2 linked regions of the Drosophila melanogaster genome follow. The protein of the gene in region 2 interacts with the protein of the main gene of each other region in a biochemical or structural test. Each region holds a gene or a part of one and is shown on either strand. Other genes may lie near its edges. The genes, in order: Iswi and Acf.

Evidence for each region.
Region 1: the proteins of Acf (region 2) and Iswi form a complex in vitro, tested with the Drosophila melanogaster proteins (3 studies listed by BioGRID).

What each region holds. Positions count from the first base shown.
Region 1 is NT_033778.4:12,635,007-12,651,108, reverse strand, and holds Iswi (imitation SWI), read right to left. Parts: upstream 14,439-16,102; 5' UTR 14,328-14,438; exon of another isoform or gene 14,266-14,327; 5' UTR 14,167-14,265; coding exon 14,119-14,166; intron 14,056-14,118; coding exon 13,838-14,055; intron 13,771-13,837; coding exon 13,516-13,770; intron 13,455-13,515; coding exon 11,339-13,454; intron 11,280-11,338; coding exon 11,119-11,279; intron 11,058-11,118; coding exon 10,772-11,057; 3' UTR 10,481-10,771; downstream 1-10,480. Other genes in the region: CG8785 (uncharacterized protein), read left to right, coding at 7,123-7,232, 7,725-7,956, 8,948-9,069, 9,126-10,086; CG33672 (uncharacterized protein), read left to right, coding at 15,025-15,285; Mvk (mevalonate kinase), read left to right, coding at 15,683-16,102.
Region 2 is NT_033777.3:31,792,385-31,800,092, reverse strand, and holds Acf (ATP-dependent chromatin assembly factor large subunit), read right to left. Parts: upstream 6,113-7,708; 5' UTR 5,726-6,112; coding exon 5,604-5,725; intron 5,112-5,603; coding exon 3,881-5,111; intron 3,823-3,880; coding exon 1,460-3,822; intron 1,401-1,459; coding exon 1,225-1,400; intron 1,159-1,224; coding exon 720-1,158; intron 655-719; coding exon 555-654; 3' UTR 294-554; downstream 1-293. Other genes in the region: Mccc1 (Methylcrotonoyl-CoA carboxylase 1), read left to right, coding at 6,475-6,515, 6,623-7,388, 7,443-7,708.

The sequences.
Region 1 (16,102 bases), on a different chromosome or scaffold from region 2:
CGTCGAACTATGCGGAAATCGGAATTTCTTGAGAATCCCAGAGTTAGAAACTTTCTATTGTCATGCGAGCTGAGTGTGATTGCATGGCAAATCAACCTACAAGTGGCAGTTTTTATTACCAGATGAGTGTGCCTTCGTTTGTCATTTGTAAAACAGGTAATTTGCATGCTGCAAATATTTGTATTACAGGGCGTGCCCCGCCACACTTATTGTGTTTTTGGGGCCTGCCCAAACAACTGGGTTCTGTCACCTGGAGCAACAAGACACAAAACAGGCGCTAAATAAATTCACTTTGTGGAGCCGCCGTTTAAGATTTAACCGGTTAGTCAAGGAAGTTGTCACGCGGATGACTGGGAGCGCGCACCCCCACTAGCCCAGATTTTGGTTGCGAATCTAAATTGCGTCACCATCTCACCTCCATTCATGATCGAATTTCGCGCCTGTGGCCGTTAAATAAAAATGCGTCGCGGGTGTTTGACATCGGGCAAGGTCAGTTTCGTTGGCAGAAGCTGTGTATATCCGAAATGTAGGAATCTAAATCCAAAATCTCAACCGGCAAGCTGCGCAGTGTGCATATTAATTAGTCAATTAATTAATTACTCAGTGCTCGATGCGTCCATTTCGTACCGAGTTGACCCCAAGACATGACGAGAAGGCAGATCCGGAAGACAATTGCGGAAGCAAATCAATTATTTATTGTTTTGACTCGTTATTATGAACGATAATCAGCACACACACACACAATGTGGTTTGGGCGTGAATTTCTCGACGGGAGTACGTTAAATTTCCATTTGCTCAAGCTCGATCAGTTGGTCAGATATATGAATGCCAGTACAATACGATGCGCATTGTAATGAGGCAGGGAAGTGGAAGCGGAATCCGGTGACAAGAGGCCTTAAGTATCTTTTCAAGCGAGGGGGATTTTTCTGATTTAACTTTTTCCAGGTATTTGAATTCGTGCTTGAGCTGCCGCTTGAAAATTAATTAGATTGATGACACGCAGTTTTAAGGCTGCAAAATGGCCAAAATGTATATCAGATGAGTGGGAAATCCCACCCCCCGGTAGCCGGTAATTTCTTAAGCACTTAAGAGGACACATTCAGAATCGATAGTTCTCCATTAAGGCGGTACAACTTTATCAGGCTCAACGAAGATTGTCAATACAGAGACAGCTGCGGTAGTAAATGTTTTCCGAATTCCACATCGATAAGGAATCGTAGTGTCAATATTGCAGCGGCTATAGACTAAGTACTTGACCTGCTTCAAAAGGGTTTCAGGTCTCGTTCATCGCAGAACCTTTTAGCTTATCAGTCCATCAGCCTTCCAAGGCTTCCACATGTCGTATACGCAACGTGCAGTTGTCTTGCGTCAATAGAAAACCTTGTTAAACAATACAACACGGCTCGTACATCATACTTTATCAATTGGTGTTCTGCAATTAAAGATACGCCGTTTACAATATCCACAGCCCGGCACAACTATATCCAATAAACTCCTGAGATATAATCGCAATTCCCGAACTCGCTTGTCTAACCAATACTTAATTACGCCATTGGCCCTAAACTGCCTCCAGATTTAGTGCCCCCATAAATCAGCGACAAACTCACAATCGATTTGGCTCAACTCTGTTTGAACTCGTCGAATTCGGAATGCACATCACGTGAAAAATGCATTTTGTCTACAGCATTTGCCGTGCCGCTTAAAATTTTCCACTGTCCCACTGACGCCGCAAACTAACTAAGCAAACAAAACCGATCGTTTTTTCATATTTTATGGTTAGACAACAAAACCAGCTAACAAGGGGAGCTGGCTACTTGAAACAAGTCAATCGCTAAGCTCCGTCTAAAAGAAAAGCCTCCAAGGCAGCACTAAGTGATTGTTAGGAGGGGGCCAACTGTAAAATGGGGGGTATTGGCTATGGAGCTCAAAAAGAGCTGCATGGTGTCGCGCATTCTTGAGCTGCCTATCGGGGACTTATAACTTTATTACACTTATAAAATTATTAAGTTATTACTTTTGATATAATTCTAATAATAGTCACTTAAATTCCTATAATTGGCTTTTGTTGGCTAATTACAAAATAATAATACCACTAGTTCCTTTCTCAGAACTTGTAAAAGTTCTTAGTTTCAAAAGATTGATCTTTAAGTGCAATTGTTCTTGTGTTCTGAACTTCATTATAAAGCATATATTCCATTAAGCTTTTTTGTGCAGCTTAGCTGCTGCAGTTGATTGATAGATATCGTTATCTGTGAAGAATACAGGGTGATTCGATTTCCTTAACAATTAAGAGTAATCAGCGTAGAGGCGATCGCCCCCAAAAGTATGCCTAAACTCTGGACGGGGACTTGGGAATTTTCCCGAAATGGAATGGAATCAGATAAGCAGTATGTGTTCGTAAGCCAAACAAATCCAATTCGACAAAGTAGCACCCACATACAGCAGATAAGAATCCCGCTCCTAACAACATAATATATTGCGCTTGCACTCTGGGCACCCAGTTATCCTCATCCGTCGAATACACCGATCCTCCTCCACCTCCTCCGCGGCCACACGGCGTATGAGTAATGGAGCGAGGCAGACTTGTCTGGCCGTCGGATGCCCAATGCTGTGTGATCTGTAGAAAGCACCCATACCCACAGCGCATATATATGTATTTGTTAACCTTTTTGAGAGAGAGGCCGACTTCGCCCCACCTGCGTCACGGTAACGTTTATTGTCCATTGCGCTAATTGCACGAACCAAAGCCAAAACGCCTTCGTCTCCGAGCTTCGCTGGGATGTGGGAACACACAAACGCACAATATCTCTGTGTGTGTCTGGCCGGGTTTATAGCCGCTCTGGCGACGCCACCGGAGCAACAAATTAAAGCACAAACATTGGCTTAATATCAGTCACTAAGCGATCGTCCGACAGTTAACAACAAATCGTCAGCGATCAGGGATTAAAATCAAAAACGAAGAGAGCGCGCGCGAATTTCGTAAATCCTTGCAACACCCGAGCAGGTGTTAAAAATTAAATAATTAAACAAGCAAATGGTTAAACAGTGTTGATTGCTACTGCAAATTCTGGCCTTATAATCGCACCGCCGAGCACATCCGTCATTAACGCGACTGTGTGAAAAACTCACTTTTTCGGCGTCAATGTCGAGGAGAAACGATTGGATCGGGCAATTAATATAATTTCTCTATAATTTCGCATCAAAGTTCGCAGCGAACTAAATCGGTCCAAAAGGTAATATTATTGTGCTTTGGGCAAATGATTTGTTTGTTTACACGGCGCTTTTCGTGTTAATGTGCCCCAATTATTTATAATTAATGCCCGCACATCAAATGAGTTATCAGGCATATTTATCGGATGCATGTGACAATAAAAGGAAGTGGCTTTAACTTAGAAATCTTCGATCGGAGAACCCCCATTTAGTTTCAATTGGCCCATTGTGAGTGGGAAAAATCATTGTGCCCCCTATTTTTTTGTTGCGGTGATAAGCGTCAAATTGGATGTCATAAAAGATTATTGGCTCAGTTTTATCTTGACGGCTACCTTACAGTTCCACTACTCACGGTACAATAAACCGGGCGTTTAATTCAGATTCTCGAAATAAAAATAAACAAAAAAAAAAACACCTTTTGACAACCCGCCCAAACAGTTGTCATTTCAAGTCCGCACATTATCACATCATCGTTAATATATAATATGGTTAATGCCCGAAAGTTGAATAATCAGATAGATAGCTGCAAGTTCAGCACTACAAAGCTGTCGAGCTGTCCCATCAATTATGCCACTCAGGCTCATACGTTTTGCATATCGAAAGTGGGTGCGATAAGGTCGTGGGAGGCAGTTTCCAGCCAATCCACCTTACAACGCGAGATCGCCTGACACTGGGCTCCTTTCCCAGCTCGCAACTCCCCCGGGTACTGAAAGAAATTTGTGAAGTTGAAGTTGTATCTTTTAAGTTACGCAAATTTAGGAAACATTTATATAAACAGATAATAAATTAGGATCCAATTAGGATAACTTTAACTTAAGAAACTGTTTAAAAGTTAATGATCTTATATTCGAAATTAGTTTTAGAAAACTTGAAAAAACATTACAAAAAAATGCAAACTACTTTGCAATTGTTGCTTAACTGTTACTTCCTTTAGTAATTAAACTGATCTGTGATAATTCAATAAGCTTCAAATTTATTATAAAATGGGCTACAGATATTTCTCTCAGTGTTTTTGGGGCCTAATGAATGATATTGACAGTCTGTCAGGACGGTCAACGCTTTTGCTCACTGCCTCTTCTTGCGGCACGTGAAGCGAACGCACAAGCAAAACAAAAGCAGCAAAAAAGCGAAACAAAGACGAAGCAAAACAAAACTGAAAACTGGTAACAAAACGGCAACAAAAAGGCTGTCTTGGCTTTAATGGAATGCATTGACCCAAAAGAGATCCCACTCGAAATGCCATTCAAAAAGTCGGCATCCAATTAAAGGTACTTAAGGCGGTGCTCGAGAATTGGCAGGGAGAAATTCCTATAGCCACGAAATACCCACCCATTTCAGGTGTACGCAGTTTTTTGCGGTTTATGCAACAGATGGGAAGGCCGTTTGCTTATGGAAGCAGGTCAGGGTATAATGCAGTTAATACTGGAGTATACAGCTTCGATAAGGCAAAACCGGAGATAAAGGTCGTGTTTTGTAAGCCATAAACCTTGCTGAGAAGGAATAATACACAGGGCAATCTGCTCGATCAAAACAGCATCTTTTTTTGAAAATTCTCCAACGAATTCAGGTCAACATCCGAAAAGCCGCACCTACCGCACATGGCTTTTATCGTTTGACGTAGTATTTTTCAATTAAGATTGTATAAATCTCAATATAATTGTTTGTGTAAACATTTGCATCCAAATCTTTCGTGTTCCGTTTCGCTCATTAGGAGAAAACCCCCAAAACCCAAGAAGTTAGTTGCTGTGCCAGGGCACCAAATCTTTCTTAATGGCCAATTAACACCCAAATCGAAGACTAAATACATACATACGAACTGCGATGACGCACTTGATGCGATCCTTTATTAAATTATAGTTCAAATGGCGTAACTAATTAATGTAATTGGCCATAAAGCGAATATGGCGACAGTTTTGGGATCGACTAGGAAAAATAATCAATGTCCGAATGTCCCGATATGATTGATATGATGATATGAAATGGGGCCCCCCAGTAACTGGAACCCAATTAGAAGTCGATCATAAAGATTTAGCGTTTCGATTTATCGATTTGTGCGCCCCACATAAAAGGCAATCGTATTGGGTAAACAACAAATAATGTCCGATCAAAAGATATTTAGGGCCTTCCAAGTCGCAAATCAACGGGTTGCTCTCTTTATATAAGAATTAAAGCTATGGTATACTAAGTATTACTGACCGCTAATCTTATCGGTACACAGATAATATTGATAATAATAACGCGTTCCTTCACGATTAGTGGTCATTAAACGTAATTATTTGATTTCCTAGATCGTAATTAGCCATCAAGGGTCTATAGATATAGATTCGCATAATAGCTAATTACTATCATTTGAAACGAGCTGCCTTAAATCAATGAACTAGTACATCATTGATAGGCAGAGCACTCTTGATTTCAGTTCCAATTCCCTCGTGGTCAGCAAATCAGTTAACTGGATTGAGTTCTAGTCTCTCGGATTCCCGATGGGTTCGGTTCTTTTCGGCTTGGTTCGGTCGCGATAAGGTGGTTATCAGTTGATAATTGATTTTAAAGGCAGCTTCAGGTTTTTTTTTATTTATTTCTATTGGCTGTGAATGTGGCATGCTGCGGGCATTTGTTGTTTATTGATTGTTGTAGCCTGTCTTGCTTTAAGTCGTTATCATATCTGGACATTATTATTATTTCGACGCTTACCGACACTTTTCGGCGCCGTAGCCCCCGAGCCCAGAAACCTTTCCCATTGGCCTGGCCAACCGATCGTTCAGTTGCTTTTGGCCAGAGGACGAGTTCGGTCCTCCTTTGCTCCGAATAACTTTTTCGATCCGAATATCCTAGCTGAAATGTAAGTAGCCGGAAACGTGATGTTACGTATATACTTATCGCGTCTTTGAAACCAATCAAGGGATTACGAGTTTTTCAAGCAAAGAGAACCTGTTGTTTAATTATAAATATTGTACACTAATTTAAACGTTTCGTCAAAAATGCATGACTAAGTACGATGTGTTGTTCTGTATAATTTCTACCAACTTGAAGTTAAACTTCATTAACTTTGCGGGAAAAATCGAAAACAATGATACTGGCACAATTTGGAAAATTTTCCATTCCTCTAAGACTTTATGATCGATCGAAGTTAAGAATGCCATTCGAATGGAGATAGTAATCACAGTAGTATCTTATTTAATTACGGATGAATTAATTCATTTGATTAAGACTAAGTAGTTCAATTTTAACCAAATTTGATTAGCTAAGAATTCAAGCATGTGACCCCTCGTTTATTGGTTGTTAAACATTCCATTGTCAACCAATTTGTGGCCTTCAATACCATTAGTATTTTCATAGTGCTACAATAAAAGTTTCATAAATTTTAAAGAAGACGGTGCGCGCCATAAATACAAATAAATCGAAGATTAAGCTAATCTAGGTTCAAAGAATACGCTCGAAGTGGATCAGCTGCCGCGAAAGAACGTCAAGTATTTCCCAAAGGAATGAATCAGCTCAATAGGAAAAATAGGTGGTGACTACTATATGGACGCTGATTTAGGGTCCGATTATATGGCCGAATTACAAGCGCTTTTAGGGCACCATAAAGCTGCATTTTATGAACGAAGTGCCATTGTTGTTTATTTGCTCGACCCCACTCCCAGCTCCATTCTTAGCCAGTTGCGATAACGATCGGCCAGTGCCAGAAATCTCTTTGCTAAGGCAATTCTAATACTCGAATGTTTCCAAGAGACGATAAGATACGCCTGGCTTGTGCCTAGCAACCCTTGAACGGATCAACCCAAGCCTTAAATGGCCAACGCAAGCGAATCTCGTGCTTCCTTTCGCCGATAAAGCCCGTTCGTGTGGGGCCGATCAATCAAGTGTGCTAATTTCATTAAACACCAATCGATCCACGATTATTTACGCTTCCAGATGGCAGATAACAAGGGATTTACCCCCGATGGACAGGAATCCCTGCCATCGGCGCCAACAGTCGAGAACCCGCCTCCATACACCAACGCAATTAATGACTTCAACTCGAAGTGAGTACGCCCAGCTTTATGTTCGCATTTGATTGAATTTGACCCATATTAAGTTATTTTTTTTTAAACTTTACTTACATTTGAAAGTCCCTAAAACGTACAAATGGTCCTCCTTTCATTTAACAAATATCATTAATGGATAACTTAATAGATGATAAAACAACATTATTCCCGTTCTATATAGTAAATTTAAATAAGTAATTTTTGATTTTATGTTTATTGTTCGAGACTCTTAAGTTTAATTCAGATAACAATTTTATAACAAGCTTATCATTGTCCTTTTAAATAAGGTATAATGAAGGAAATATGTAAAAAGGAAAACAGGACATAAAATTAATAAAGTTTTCAAATTCTTTCACAGTAAATGAATATAAAATTATTTAACACCATAGAAATGGATGTGAATTTAATACATTTCTGGAAAAAATATAAATATAGATATATGTTTGATAGAATGCATAGTTAATACTTTCTCACCTTTTTTTTTCGCAGAGCCAACTTGACGGAAAAAGAGCTTTCCCTCACGGATGATCCCTACCATCCCTTCGAGCACCGCGATCCCAATGGAGCCAGTGCCGGCGGCGCTTTGGCGCACTTGCTCAAGAGTTCCTTGGGCACGGGCATTCTGGCCATGCCCATGGCATTCCACAATGCCGGTCTGGCCTTTGGAATGGCCATGACGCTGATCGTTGGATTCCTCTGCACCCATTGCGTGCATATATTGGTAAGCTAAGTGGCCACAAATTTAGCACCTGATTTTCGTTGTTGACTCAAGCAATTTACGACAGACAGCAGCCAGACCAGGTGAGCCGCATAATCCACGGCTGACGTATGTAGTTCCCTGAGTCTTAAGTAGTTCAAGGTGCCCAATCAATGGAGCCAATGAATCAATCGTACCTAGTGCCCAGATAAGCGTACTGCAACGGCCAGTCCAATCGTTGCACGTGTCTCAAAAACCAAGTCCAGTCCCACTTGTTCTTATCGCCGAAGATACAATGTGCGATTGTTGTAGCTTTACGACTTCCATTTCCGATCCTCGCGAATCCCTAAAAACGTAATTTCCCAGAATTAGCTGCACTCCAAATTTCCAGACATCAGGGATCGCGTGCCAAAACATTGCGTAAATCAAGCAAATGTTTCTCGGAAAGTCCAAGTCACCGATCATCCATTGGTTATAAATAAAAAATGCTAGCGTACTCTATAATTTAGCCACTCGAGTTAGCAGATTTATGGCATTTGGATTTTGACAGTCATTTTGGAACTTCTCAAGTGCTTAGCTGCGATCATTTAGATTTACTATTTTTTGATATATATTCCTAGTTAAAAATGTTCTTAATTTGATAAGCCGGCTACTTCCTCACTTCAACTTCATTTGATTTACAATTAACATATGATGACGTAATACTTTATAATCGCTTTCCGCTTAGGGAATAATAAACTGCATCCTCATAAGCTTTAGATTATCTCTAAAGTGGAAGTCAAGTCTCTAAGATTAATACTATATCTTAATTTTGAAGTAGTATTATTTATTTAGACTTAAAACTTAGTGATAACCTTAGCCTATTTGTTTAAACTGCAATAAATTTCTATTTGATTAATGGAGTAGAAGCTTAGAGTTCAATAAATTGCTGTCTATATTATAAATCACCTTTTTCAATGCTTTAATGAATCCTATTAACTAACGACGTTCCAACATTTTTTATTCATTCTTGCAGGTTAAAACTTCGCATGACATTTGCAGGGATGCCAAGGTTTCGGCTCTGGGATTTGCTGAGACAGCTGAGAAGGTCTTCGAGTACGGACCCAAGGGAATGCGACCCTACTCGAATTTCGCCAAGTGAGTAAAGCTTACAGGAGATGATCCCTAATGCTAATCTATTTAAAAATCTCCAGGCAATTTGTGGATATCGGACTGATGGCCACCTACTATGCTGCGGCATGTGTATATATCGTATTTATTGCGACATCCTTCCACGATGTCATTAACTATGATTTGAAGATCAACTGGGATGTGCGTATTTACATTGCCCTAACCGTGATCCCCTGTCTGCTTATCGGTCAGATCCGTGACCTGAAGTGGCTGGTGCCATTCTCCATGATGGCCAACATCTTCATTGTGGTCACATTCGCGATCACGCTGTATTACATGTTCGACGAGCCGCTGGTTTACTCCGACAAGCCACTGATCGCCAAGGCTGCCCATATTCCACTCTTTTTCGCCACCGTGATCTTTGCGATGGAGGGCATCGGTGTTGTGATGCCCGTGGAAAACTCGATGAGGAAGCCCCAGCATTTCTTGGGATGCCCCGGCGTGCTTAACATTGCTATGGTCACTGTGGTCTCGCTCTATGCCATCATCGGATTCTTTGGATATGTGCGATTTGGCGACCAGGTGCGAGGCAGCATCACGCTGAATCTGCCGGAAGGCGCCTGGCTGGGCGATACGGCCAAGCTCCTGATGGCCGTGGCCATCCTGTTCACCTTTGGCCTGCAGTTCTATGTGCCCAACGAGATCCTCTGGCGCAAGATCAGTCACAAGTTCAGTCCCGAGAAGCACAATATTACACAGATTCTGCTGCGCAGCGGCATTATCCTGCTTAGCGGTGGTGTAGCTGCTGCTATCCCCAACCTGGAACCCTTCATCAGTCTGGTGGGTGCCGTGTTCTTCTCGCTGCTGGGCATCTTTGTGCCCAGTTTCGTGGAGACCGTCTATCTGTGGCCCGACCGCCTGGGCGTGTGCAAGTGGAAGCTGGTCAAGAACATCTTCCTGGGCGTGTTCTCCATTCTTGCCCTGGTTGCTGGTGCCGTCGCCAGCATCAACGAGATCATCGAAATGTATAGCGACGACGACTAAGGATTCGATATGTATGGGTTCAACCTTCAAACAGAGACGTAGTATTACACTAGATGCAGGTAGCTCCAACAATGGAAGCGCGATGAAAGACAAGTATGAGTTCAAAAAGCAGGCGAAGCCCACATTCACATCAGACCCAACTTATGGCCATGTTGAACATGGTCAAGCGGCTCGGATGCCAAATTGCCGATGCCGTTGACTGCATGAACAAGATGATATTAAGTTTAAGTGCCCTGTTACACAAACTAAGCAGCAATTCATAGAATTTATATATGTTATTACGTTAAGTTGCTCAGCATTCCAAAACATAAAGCGAACAGTACCAAAACATTCAATATGTCGCCTTTTACTTACGGGGAATCCACCTCTGAATATAAAGTGAAACAATCTGTATGCTGTGTTGATTTATATAAATATAATGATTATAGTCTTAGAACACAATACAATTATTTGGAATAGAATACAGCGGCACGCAATAGTAATGTAGTCGGATGTGTAGGCGGGTGTTTAAAAAAACTTCAGATTTTGGGGGTGGGGTTGGTGTGATATTGCTTCCGGCGTGAGATATGAACTATTAACTATATAGAGTAAAATATGTTTAAGTAATCGCTTGTCTTAACTATTTAACTGCCTAGTGCTGAGTGTAGAGCCGAATCTCAGAAAAATATCTGTTTGCTTTGTCGCTTTACTTCTTCTTCTTTTTCGAGTTGGAACTGGTTGCCACCACCTCGCTCTTCCGCTTTTGACTGGCCTTCGGTTGGGGCGCGGGTGCTGGAGTGTTCGAGCTGGCACTTCCACTTCCAGCGGACACGCTGCCCTTTGGTGCCTTTTTCTTTTTCTCGGCGCGTTCTTTCTCTTCCAGCTCAATGTTTTCACGTTCAATAAGGGTAATCAACGTGTTGCAGCGACGCTGTAGCTCCAAAGCGGTTCTAGATTTGATGAACCAGTCAAAGCGGAATTGCGGAGAAGCTCTGTAAGAGAACGGAAATGTATAAGGGGTTTACTCATATTTAAAACCAAGTTTTTGCTCACCTTATAGCCGCTCGCAGCTCTTCGTAGACATTCTCCTTGTCAAAGCCCAACTTGTGAAGCATGCATACCAGAAAGCGATCCTCTATTTCAGTGTAATTCTTGCCCTTGTTATTACCATATTGCAGCCGCAACTGATGGAAGGGGGCGCGATACCGCGACATCTACAACAAAAATATATTCATATATATTAAAGATACTCTACAGAAACAATGCTAACTACCTTTTGATCCAAAGCCTTCTTAATAGACAATCGCCGTTGAATCTTGCCCTCTCCACGCTCAATCTGTCCCATTATTCGCTCAATATCCTGCAACTCAGTGCATCGCTCCCAAAACACGGCGTTGTACTCGATAACCTCCTCCGGAGTCTTGCCCTCCACGTCCTTGGCAATGTTGTCAATATCATCCCGACCGTACTTTTCGTTAGCCTTGATGAACTGGTTGAAATCGCGCTTGGTCCAGGCAGTGAAACCCTGTGAGAGTAGATTCTCCTTCTCCTGGATCTCTTCCTCGGTAAGCGGCTCTGCCTCATCGATCTTGCGCTGCTCCTCGCGCTGCACTTTGGTGGCATCCGATCCTAGTTCCGTGTTCTTGGGCACCTTGTAACCAACAGTCTTGCGGAAATAGTAGATTTCCTGGTCGAGCAGCTCAAACAGACGGGGTGGGAAGAACTGAAAGTCCTGAACGATAGGCTGCTTGGGTGGGCGGGGAGCCTTCGGTGCCTTGGGTTCGGAGACACGGAGAGCCTCGCGGAAATAGGCATCCACAGCATAGTTGGCTTTGCGTTCACGCTTCGGTGGCTCGATCCAGTTGCCCAGCGCATTTAGCTTTTGCTTCTCGCGCCAATCCTCACCCTCGAATTGATATACGGAAGAAGTTCCTGCCTCGCCGTTTGTGTCCATTGTGAACGTCCGCAGCGAACTCTCGCCCAGACTGTCCAGTGCTGCCTTTTGCTCGGCCGTCTTGGCCTCACCGCGCTCCAAAATAACATCGATGTCCTCATCGGTAATGTCTGTCTCCTTAGAGCTGAACACTTGGTTAGCTCCAAAACGGATTATATTAAGCATTTCATCCTTGTTCAACTGATTGGAGCGGTTGTCAACCAATCTGCCCCCCTGGATGACCATCTTGTCCAGACGGAGCTTGACCTCTGCTCTCTCCACGATCTTCTCCTCCACTGTACTTTCGGTGATCAGCCGGAAAACGCGCACTTGCTTCTTTTGACCAATACGATGAGCACGATCCATAGCTTGCAAATCCATTTGAGGATTCCAATCCGAGTCGTAAATGATGACAACATCAGCGGTAGCCAAATTGATACCCAAACCACCGGCTCGGGTGGACAACATGAAGAGAAACTTGGCGCTGTTGTCCATGTTAAATTCCTGAATCTGCCTGTTACGATCTTCGTGCGGCGTCTGACCATCCAGGCGGCAATAGTTGTAGTTGCGCCAGTGACAGTAGTCCTCGAGGATATCCAACATCCTCGTCATTTGTGAGAAAATCAACACACGCGATCCCTGCTCTTGGAGCTTGGGCAGCAGCTTGTCCAGAATAGCCATCTTTCCGGAGTTATACACCAAATGCGTGTCCGTGGTGTATGGCGGACCGGGCTCGGCGCCATCAAACAAATATGGGTGGTTGGTGCACTTGCGGAGCTGCATAAGGATGTTCTGCAGTCGCATCTTCTCCACTTTGCCAGCACCGTTCACTACATCAATGTCCTTAAGCAGCACCTTGGTGTACCAGTCGCGTTGCATCTTGGATAGACCCACAAATATTTTCATCTCCTTCTTCGGCTTCAGACGCTTCTCCACTTCGGCCTTTAGACGACGGAGCAGGAAAGGTTTCAGCACGGCATGCAAACGCGTAATCAATGCATCGTCACCCAGGCAGGTGTTCGTGTTGAACCATTCGTCAAAATCCTCTGACGAATTAAACACATCGGGCAGCAGGAAATTAAGCAGGGCCCACAGCTCGTGGAGGTTATTCTGCAGCGGAGTACCCGTGATAAGTAGACGATTAGCGGTCTTAAACTCTCGCAGAATCTCCGACAGCTTCGACTTCTCGTTCTTGATACGATGCGCCTCGTCGATGACCAAATAGCGCCAGTTGAACTTCTTGAATACAGACTTCTCGCGGATACACATCTCATAGGAGGTCACGCAAACGTCCCACTCGCCAGGCATGAGCACATCTCTAATGAAGGTGTTACGGGTGTCCTGGTCACCAATAAGGCAGACGGCTCTGAGGGAAGGACACCACTTTTTAAACTCATTTACCCAATTCTGAAGCGTTGACTTTGGCACGATGACGATGTGTGGTCCAGCTTGATTTCTGCACGCAAATATGGTATTTAGAGATTTCTTTAAAACAATAGATGTTTATGAAAACTCACTTGAAATGCTTGAGGTAACCCAGCAGAGATATGGTCTGCAGGGTCTTTCCTAGACCCATTTCATCGGCCAGAATTCCATTGATACCATTTTCGTAAAGCGAAATCATCCAGTTAAGACCGCGAATCTGGTAGTCACGCATCTCTCCACTTTTGATGTAGGCGGGTGAGGCATCGAAGCGAAAGATCTCCTTGGTGGCCGAGTCTTCCGCCAGCAACTCCTCATCCTCCTCCTGCTCTGTCTTGCGATGACGATGACTGTTTAATACAAAAGTACACCAATAGATAAAGTAGTTGGCTTTTTTATAGGGGGAGTTTAACTCACTCGGCCACATCCTTTTCCTTGTCCTTGTCTTTGATCTTCTTGGGTCTACCCTTAGGCTTCGTGGGACTCTTAGCGCTGTTAGTCATGAAGTGGGTGAATATCTCCGTCTGCTTTAGCAGGAAATCAAAGCGCCTACTGCGATCAGCCTCGATTTTGTTGTCGAACTCAGCCTCCTTTTCACCGGATGAACTGGTGGCCGCATCTGAAGTCGTCTCGTTCTGGCAGAGTTCAGAATATATGTATAGAAGTCCTTAGACAAAGCCTGCTGTATATTAACTTACCGAGTTCTCTTCGGTTGCCTCCACGGCAGCTGTATCTGTTTTGGACATATTTGCAATGCCGGCGTCTGTCTCTAAATGAACTTAATTTTTCCACAAATTTCCCCTCGCCAATCAAGCGTGCTGCACACTGGTGTCGTTTAATGTGAACTGAAAATCGAGTGTGCAACCTGTTAGTTATACTTTCAGTATATAAATAAAAGGCAATTTACACAAAACAATGTTTGTTTCGCTTAAACAAATTGTAAATAATTACATGCGATTTTTTTTAATGAATGGTGGGAAATCTGCGCGTGCTATCGCTAGATTATGCGATGAATGCGCGAAGTTGGCTGCGGCAGCGACGGTGGCGGCAAACAAATCGAGAATACGAACTATCGATAGTTTTGATGGATTACTATGAATGGCAGCACTGGCCGTGTGCCGTTATTATTAGTTTTAGACAAAGCCGTTATTCTGATTAATCAAATAGGTTATCTTTTTAAATTGTTTGCGTTTGTTTAAAAATTATTGCCTAATGTTTAAGTTTGAGATGATGGAATATAGCAGGAATCGAAAAGTCTAATGGGGTCTCATAATATTTTAGAAATAAGCCCTGTGGTGGAAACTGAATCTAAATATGACAATATGTACTACATCGTTTTAGACTTGAATGGCTGCCCCAAACTATATGAACAAAGACAAAATCTGTTAAATTACTTAGACAACCCCCATATTAAAGTATTTAATAGATATATCGCAAGAAACCCCCCGAAAAAGAACATTTAAAATGGTGCTAGGTGTGGCCAAGGTCAGCGCAGATAGAAAAACTACCACCCGGCTTATGGAAAACCTGTTTTTGCCTGAAGCCCAATACGGTCACACAACCACTCCATCACCTCGTTTCGTTTGAAAAAAAAACCATCCAAAATGAGTAAATACGACTCAAAGTACCTCGAGGAGAAGCTCAAACGGGAACTGCAGACGGAGTACGTGAGTGTTACGGACGAATCAGACGGCTGTGGCGGCAAGTTCAGCGCCGTAATCGTATCGCCAGCCTTCAGCGGCAAGACCCTTCTCCAGAAGCATAGATTAGTTAACTCAACGCTTGCCGAAGAACTGAAAGAAATCCATGCATTCTCCCAGAAATCCTACACACCCGAAGAGTGGGAGAAAGTGAAAGCCCAATAGTAGTACCGAATAAAAAAAAACCAACAACACACATACATATACACGAGCGATACAACAACAGCAAACACTAGCCGCAAAAACCTGTTGTTCGTTTTGCTGATGGTTGCGCTTTCCGATCGAAGAGACGAACAAGCCGAAAAACGCCAGTCGCACAAAGAAAGTGAAAGGGAAAGCACAGGAATCGGCAGCCAGAAATAGGAGTTACCGAATAAACAACGCAAATGATCCACTAAATGCATAAGTTACATAAAGAAATACAGCCATAAAAGTTTAACTACTTGTCGCAGGTCGTCCACTCGAAAGGCATTAGCATTACAATTCGAAACAGCTGATAAACCGATAAAGCCATAGCCAAACGGAATACAGAACACACAATACACGGAGATCATCAAGAACAATGCTCAAGTTCCAGGTCCATTCTCCGGGCAAGGTCATACTCCATGGCGAACACGCCGTGGTCTATCATCGTCCCGCCCTCGCCGCCGTAGTGGGTTTGGGCACTACTCTGAGATTTCGGCAGCTGGAGGACAGCCAGGTGGCAAGTTTTCAACTGGAGGCCCTTAACTGCACACTGGAGATCCAGTTGCCGGAGTTCAATGGATTTTTGGCTGAATTTAGGAGTAAATACCCATCAGATAGCACGGCCAATCTGTTGGAAGCCGTCCGCGCAGAGGTGTCCAAACAACTTGAACGATCCGGAGGCAATGCACCGAAGCAGCACACCCAGCGGGCATTCATCTCCATATACTATTTGCTGGCCGGCGCTGTACTCTCCGCACCCGGCGACAAGAAACTGACGCTGCAAACCGGTTTCCAG
Region 2 (7,708 bases):
TCACTCTTACTTTTAATGTCCAGTGAAACACACATAGCTTAGATTTCATAAAAAGTAATAATAACAATGCAGCATCCAACACTTTTTTCTCGATTAAGAAAGAATTTGGCAAATTAGGTTCTTTAAGCAATATTTTTTTTTTTGCGATCAAATCGTCTGTTTTAAAAACTGGCAAACTCCATCTACCCATTTTTCCTGCGTTTATACAGAGCTAAGCTCTTTTAAAATTTGTATTCATTTAATTTTAGCTTTTTACACCTCCAACAAAACAATTTTTTTTACTTATTTATTTTGAATCGTTTGTTTCCGGTCACTTCATTTATTGATTGTGGAATTTTCGTAGTGTCTACAATAATTTATAAATACATAAAGTCTCATAAACCAACAGATAAGGATTTTTTGCATATGCGTGTGCTGAACTTAGAACTGACATGCACGAAAATAAAGATCTTTAAATACACTTAATATTTGTGCTTAAATATATATGGTTTTCAACTACGGCTTAGAGTAGACTAACTAATTTACACGATAGCTGGTGGAGATCAGCGTCCGGCTCAGCAAGCTTTGACTTCCCCGTTCATATCGCTAGGCCTAAACGGTAGCTGCATGTCCCTACATCGATCGATCACGAATCGTTCTAGTTGACAACCAGCGCTGCAACGGATTCAAGATAAAGGATAAACAACAAGACCACTTACGGATTATCCCAATCTACTCACTCGTATATTTCGTTGCCTTCTACGTTGTACAAATCGCAGTTTCTAAACACCAACTGAATGTCGCTGAGCAGCTCCTCGTTTAGCTGGTAGGCGCCCATGTTTAGCTTGGATTTGATTTTAGCTAGATCCATGGGCGTTTTGATGATCTGATGGTAGTCGGGAACCTCCGATGTCAGCACTGGTCGCAGAAACGGCCAAGCGGCCTTGTGCTTCATGATCTGCTCAAGCAGATCGTACAAGGCGGCACTGTTCAACGGCATGTGCTCGTTCGTCCGACGCCCGCTTCTGCGATGGTTGTTGTTATTGACGCTGCTGTTGTTATTATTGTTGTTGTTGTTGCCGTTGCTTGGGCGGGCGGTCTTGTCGATAGATAGGCGCAAAGAGTTACGTGGTCGCTTTGCTTTTGGCTCCTCCTCATCGCGGTCATGATCACCATTCACTTGTTGGACAGAAATCACACGGGCTATTAGTGAGCTATTCATTAAGGAGAAATTTGTGGACTTACTGTTACTGTGCCGGCGCCTAGGTCGTTGTGGCATCGGCTTGCAGGTTTTACAAACGAAATCTGTGCGAGGCGGTCGCTTGAGGTGAACACATTCCAGGTGAAAGAATAGCCTGCATTGCACACATTTGATTTCACCGCCATCGTAGAAACACTTCTGACACACCTTTTCCTCATCTCTGTGGATTGCAATGGGTTCATTATCTAAATTTAATTTTCAATCCAGTTTTTAACTTACGACTCGTCTTCGATCGTATCTTCACCGGCGGTTAAGGATGCGTCATCGCTGACGTCTCCGCTGTCAACGTCTTCCTGAGCATGTTCTTCGATCTCTTTCGAAGTAAGTCTTCTGCTTGTTGGCCGTGTGCGGGGTCGCCTTAAAATTCGCCCATTGACTCTGGAAGATGAGGGGGTAGAGGTCACACTTTCGTCGTCCTCAACGTCCTCATCGTGTTTTTCGTTCTCGTGCTCCGCATCCTCATCGGTCATATCGTCATCCTTTTTCTCTTCCTCTTCTTCGTCTGTAGCTTCATCATCCTCCTCTTCTACGATAAACTTGCGTTTCTTCTTTGTCGCCTGCTTTTTATCCTTTTCGTTTTGACCATTGCTGAGACCCAGACTCTTTACGCAATCATTGCAATACCAGTTGCCCGGGGGTACAGACCTCAGCTTAGGCTTCAGGCAGAACATGTGAGTGCCAGCGTTGCATTCATCGCACAGCAGCATCTTCTCCGGATCGCTGCCACGCCTGCAGACCTTGCATAATGACTTATTGGTGGAACGCCTCCACTGAATACAGTCGTGCAAGATGTTTAGGTGCAGAAAGACTTGAGCAAAGCTTGTACTTTCCATTAGCGAAACTTCCCACTGGTGCAAACGCGAGTCGCAGGCAAGTTTTAAAGCCTCCTGCTTGGGGTCCCACTTCTTCATGCCGTAGGGTTCCTTCAGAAACCGTTTTCCAATAGCCTGCTCCACTTGCAGAAGGGCCGAGGCCATGTTATGCACGGCGATAGGAATCGAGACGGCATTCGTATGCTGATCCTCCTCATCGTCGCTGTCTGGTAGGGGTTTTGTGTCTGCAGAAGCTGCCAAATACATGCCAGGATCGCGATATGGTTTCCTGGCATATTTACCTAATAGTGCGCCATCGTCCTCCTCGTGAGTTTCGTGGGATTCGTTGTCAGAACCAGCTTCATCTTCCAACTTGCCACCCGGGCCCCACTGCAACTTGCACTGAGCGTCGTAATTGCCTCCAAGCAAGTCACTTCGCCACTTTTCCATATCCTTAACTTTCAGGCGGCCGAGATCACCAGTGTAAATATCATTTTCAAATTGAATAATTCGATCCACTAAATGCAAGCGCATCACTTCGTTTAGATCGGTCCCATTCGGTAACCCAAAGTTTGCTTCTCCGTATTTACGGTTAGTTTCAGATTCCATCGCCGCCATAAACTTCTTGCGCATTGTTTCGTTTTCTAGACTTAGCAAGTCTACTGGGCAGGTCTTAGCATGCTGTTCGATTAAGGAACGCAGAACGGATAGCTCTTGAAGGAGTTCATATTCACGGAGACCATTGGGATTGAGAGCCTTAATTAATTCATCGATCTCCTCGGCTTTGTAAATATATGCCCAACGCTGCCGTTGCCCATTTCTTGAATCATGCACAATACAAGATCGTTTGTCACCACTGCACATCAAGAGCTCAAAATGAGTGGGAGCCTCTGGAGAATCAGATTCGACATCCATGGGTTCTGCACTGCCGTTAAGGCGATGCTCTTGGTTCTCCTTGTTCTCTAGAGAGTGCTTGGCCTTTTTCTTAGTTTTCTTTTCGTCGTCTCCGTAGAGTTTGAGTAGATATACCCTTAGGTCCTTGCGATTCTTTGGCAATGCAGACTGCTGACGAATTTCTATTTGGGACTTATTTGTTATTGGTTGCTCCAAACAAGTGTCAAGGCTGTCCGGCGAATGCTCGACAAAGATCCCAGGCATAGACTCCAAAACGTAATATTTCCTGTAGCACCTATCCATGCCCAAGTAAACCAAAAAATTGAAAAGCTGCGAATGCAACTTAAGCATCTGCAACTCGTGCTTGCGATGTTGCTGATCCGATTGGGCGTGTAGCTCGGCAATACTCTTCTTTAATTTCTCGACCAACGCTTCCCTCTTTTCAGGCTCAACGCCATTTACCTCCAGGTGGTGCATTTGCGTGAGTTTTTTCCTGTTTATCTCTACGGCGGCTAATCTCTTATTTTCCCCGACAACTAGAGCTCGTAGATCTTGCCTGGCCTTTGCTGTTTGCTCCATACGCTCCTCAATCAAGTTAATCGTGCCCGAGTATGTCATAATTTGGGACATCAGGCAGCGAATCAGGAGCATTATATCCTTAAACTTTAGCTGATATACGGAATGATTTTTGAGAATGCGCAGGATGTGCGAGTGTTCCAGACGTAGTTCCAGACCAGGGTCTTCTTTTGACGAGTAGCCATTCCGGTACATGACTCTCCAGCGCTCCGCCTTTTCATTTACAAAAGCTCCGGATCCAAGTAGATGCAGTCGTAGCACTTCACTGAGAGTCAGTGCATCTAATGGTAGTTCATTTACCTATTGGGAAAATAAAATTAGTTTAGATAACACACGTCGGCACAAACAAAGTATTGACCTTAAAGGAAAAGTGCCTCTTGGCGTAAAGGTGACTTTTGGCGGCCTGCGCCATACTCCAATAGGGCTCCTGAGTTTGTGCAGCCCGATCGAGGTAGGTCACTGCGCATTCCTCCTCCTCTTCTTTTTGCAGATCGAAAACAGTGCCAAGCAGAACGAGGAGGATGTCCGATAGTGGGCCCGCAATCTCACGAGCAGTCAGTGCACGTGTCATCTCGTAGAAACTGAGGTTCTGACGGAACACCTCGATGCCGGACAGCAATCCTGTGTAAGTGTGCATAAACTCGCGCATCATGAAGGCATCACCCAGGAGGTGCTCAGGCAGCAATGTGACGATCTGTCTGTAGCGGGGCAGGACTTTTTGGTCGGTTCTCTCCAGGTCGTCCGTCTTTTGAAGCAGTAAATTACATTCGTTTTCAACGCGTTCAATCAACTGTGCCTTCTTTTCCGCCTTTTGTTTTTCCAACTCAATAAGCTTGGCCTCTTTTTCTCGCTTAACCCGCTCCAATTCCTCTGCCAGAGATTTAGCATCAGACTTGGCCTTCGCCTTTGACTTTGCAGCCGTTGCTTCACCGGCGACAATATATTTGTTGAGAGTGGATTGCTTCTTGCCGTCAGGTTTTTTAATCTTAGCGGGAGAATAACGTGGCATTTTGCCAATGAAAATTGTGGAGAAGTTTACGCCAGGGTCCGTCACGTACTGCTTGTATGCCTCTGGCTTGGGTCGAAGAAGTCCATCCACCCGCGATACATTGCTCTTTATAAACATACTCAGGTTTTCCAGGTTAAACTCCATGCGCGAGCGACGTAATTGCCTAAAGGGCAGATCAAGCTCTGCACTGGGATCGCCCTTGTTTGGTCGTAGTCTGTAGACCAGGTTGTCCGTGTCCTCATAGATACCATTGAGTGGTTCCGGCATATTTTTGTCCAACTTGACACCCAACACCGTGTACGTGGCGTTCTTCTTAGCTTGCACCGACACCTCCTCGCCGATAAAGTAGCGCTTGCGCAGAAACTTGGCCACTATCATGTTCAAGGTGTTGACCGCCGACTGTTGGGCGTGCTCCACAACCAGAAGGACGGGTGCCCGAAGGCTCTGTTTGAACTGCTCCATCTTCTTGCGAGCCGCCCGCTCACTTTTGACCGCCTCCTCGTAGGTGAGGTTCTCCTTGCCGGTGGCCTCGCACTGCCACACCGTTGAGTTGATCACCATCACGTGCCGGAAGTAGTGTCTGGATAAATAAATTTAATCGATCAGCGTTTTAAGGTCAATTTATTTTGATATAATTGAAGCTTGTCAGAGTAAAACATATTTAGTATGTTTGCTATTTATTAAAATAGTTTCGCGCTACCCAGCCTCTTAAATAATTGCTGATCTTAAAAATATCTAGAAGGATCATATAAGTCGAATTGGGTCAACAAATTCCAAATTCAAGAGCGCGCGCTTTGGCACCAGGTGGCAACTCCGCGGCGAGCAGCTGTGCGGCGGCAGCTGTAATTTCTTCCCGCCACCGAACAGCGTTTTTTTCGCCTTTGGCCCACGAGACTCGCACACTTATGCACCCCTGCGAACACACACACACACACACTGAATGGTGATGTACGGTACATCGTGTGCAAATGCTTTTGCAGCGTCGCTTTTGTTGTATACTTTAGCGCAGCGTCCACCTAATGGCAGGAGAAGGGAAGGGGCAGTTGCAGGAATGGTAGCAGGATGCACTTACTCATAGTCGCGAAAAATGCGCTTAGTGATGTAGCAGCAGAAGACCTGGTCGTTGTCGTGGAATGTTTCGTTCTTGCCCTCCTTCTGATTCAGGTCGAATCCTTCCCGCTTGCAAATGGGCATGTTTGGTGTTTTCCTTTTGCTCTTGAATGTCCTTAAGTTTAAATGGCAGTCCTTCGAAGTGCACGTTTAACAGTTCACAATAAAAACAACCGCGGAGCAACTGATAAATTTTACAACGCCAAGCGACAAGCGCAAAAGGCGCCCAACTTTTCACGCCTTTCCGGAGGGGCTTTCGATGCAAACGGTTTTCCAGCGATACGCGCGTTGACTTCCGACGCAATTATACAAGCTGTCGGCGGGCGACACTTTTCCGACAATTTCTACTATGTTTGTGGCTGGCTTCCTCAACACCAACTACCTAAATCCGTTTATTTTATAGCGCACAATCTATTTTCACGCGCATATTTTGGGGCCTATCGCTCTTCGACGTTAAACTATCGGTTATCGAGTTTCTGCGAACAATGTTACCGAACTTCACGAGCGCAGAAAACCGTAAGGACGCGGTCGGATGGATGTCAACAGTTCGATAAATAGTCCAGAATAATATAACGGTAATATTTTTTATGGGTTGCAACTTAAAAAAAACACAATATACGTAATATCAATTTCCCTAAAAGATATTGATGATATATGATAATCCCCAAAAGATATATGAAACATTAATATTTTCAACCATGCATCTCGTGAGTCGCCCATCTCAATTGCGATCTTGTGCGTGTGCGTTTTTCCAGCTGTGATAAGCGACGATCGCACACTTGCTCTGAATAAAGTATATTTGTTATTTATTCTTACAATTAATTCTACTAATAATGTACGCCAGACTGCTGCGAAACTTCGGCGCAAACGCCAGGTGAGGGAAATGATCGGCAGTTCTTTGTTAAGGCCGCTAAATCAAAAGACTTAATTTCGTTCTTGACGATTACATAAACCTTGCTAATTTGTTTTGGCTTGACGCAGGTGCTTTGCAACAGAAGCCAGCCCAAAAGTTCGGCCTATCAGCAAGATCCTTATTTCAAATCGTGGTGAGATCGCATGCAGGGTGATTCGAACCGCACGCAAGCTGGGAGTTCGTACCGTGGCCGTGTTCTCGGATCCGGACGAGAAGAGCATGCACACGCAGTTGGCAGACGAGTCGTACCGCGTGGGGGAAGCTGCCTCCTCGGCTTCCTATCTTCGCGGTGAACGCATCCTGGACATAGCCAAGCGTTCGGGCGCCCAGGCCATCCACCCAGGCTACGGCTTCCTCTCCGAGTCCGTCGAGTTTGCCGAGTTGTGCCAGCGTGAGGGCATCATCTTCATGGGTCCGCCCAGTTCCGCCATCCGGGACATGGGGATTAAGAGCACCAGCAAGGCCATAATGGCCGCTGCTGGGGTGCCGATCATCAATGGATACCATGGCGATGATCAGTCAGATGAGTGTTTGCAGCGAGAAGCCGACAAAATTGGCTTTCCCTTGATGATTAAAGCCGTCCGCGGCGGCGGAGGCAAAGGCATGAGAATCGCAGAAAAACCGGACGACTTCCTCACCGCTCTGAACTCAGCTCGCACCGAGTCCGAGAAGTCGTTTGGCGACAGCTCTGTGCTTCTGGAGCGGTACGTCCGATCTCCACGCCACGTAGAGGTTCAAGTATTTGCGGATCAGTATGGTGATGCTGTCTATCTGTGGGAAAGAGATTGCTCCGTGCAAAGACGTCATCAAAAGATTATTGAAGAGGCGCCAGCTGTAAGTGCACAAGAGCTTCGGCTATTTTAAAAATAATGCTCATTTATACAACAGCCAGGTTTGTCGGAAGATTTGCGTCGTGAGCTGGGCGAGGCTGCTGTTCGTGCAGCGAAAGCTGTGGGCTACGTAGGAGCTGGCACCGTGGAGTTCATTCTAGACAAAGAAGATCTCTCTTTCCACTTCATGGAAATGAATACCCGCCTGCAGGTGGAGCATCCTATAACGGAAATGATTACGGGCACCGATTTGGTTGAATGGCAGATTCGCATTGCCGCCGGTGAGCCATTACCCCTGAAGCAATCTGAGATTACGCGGCGTGG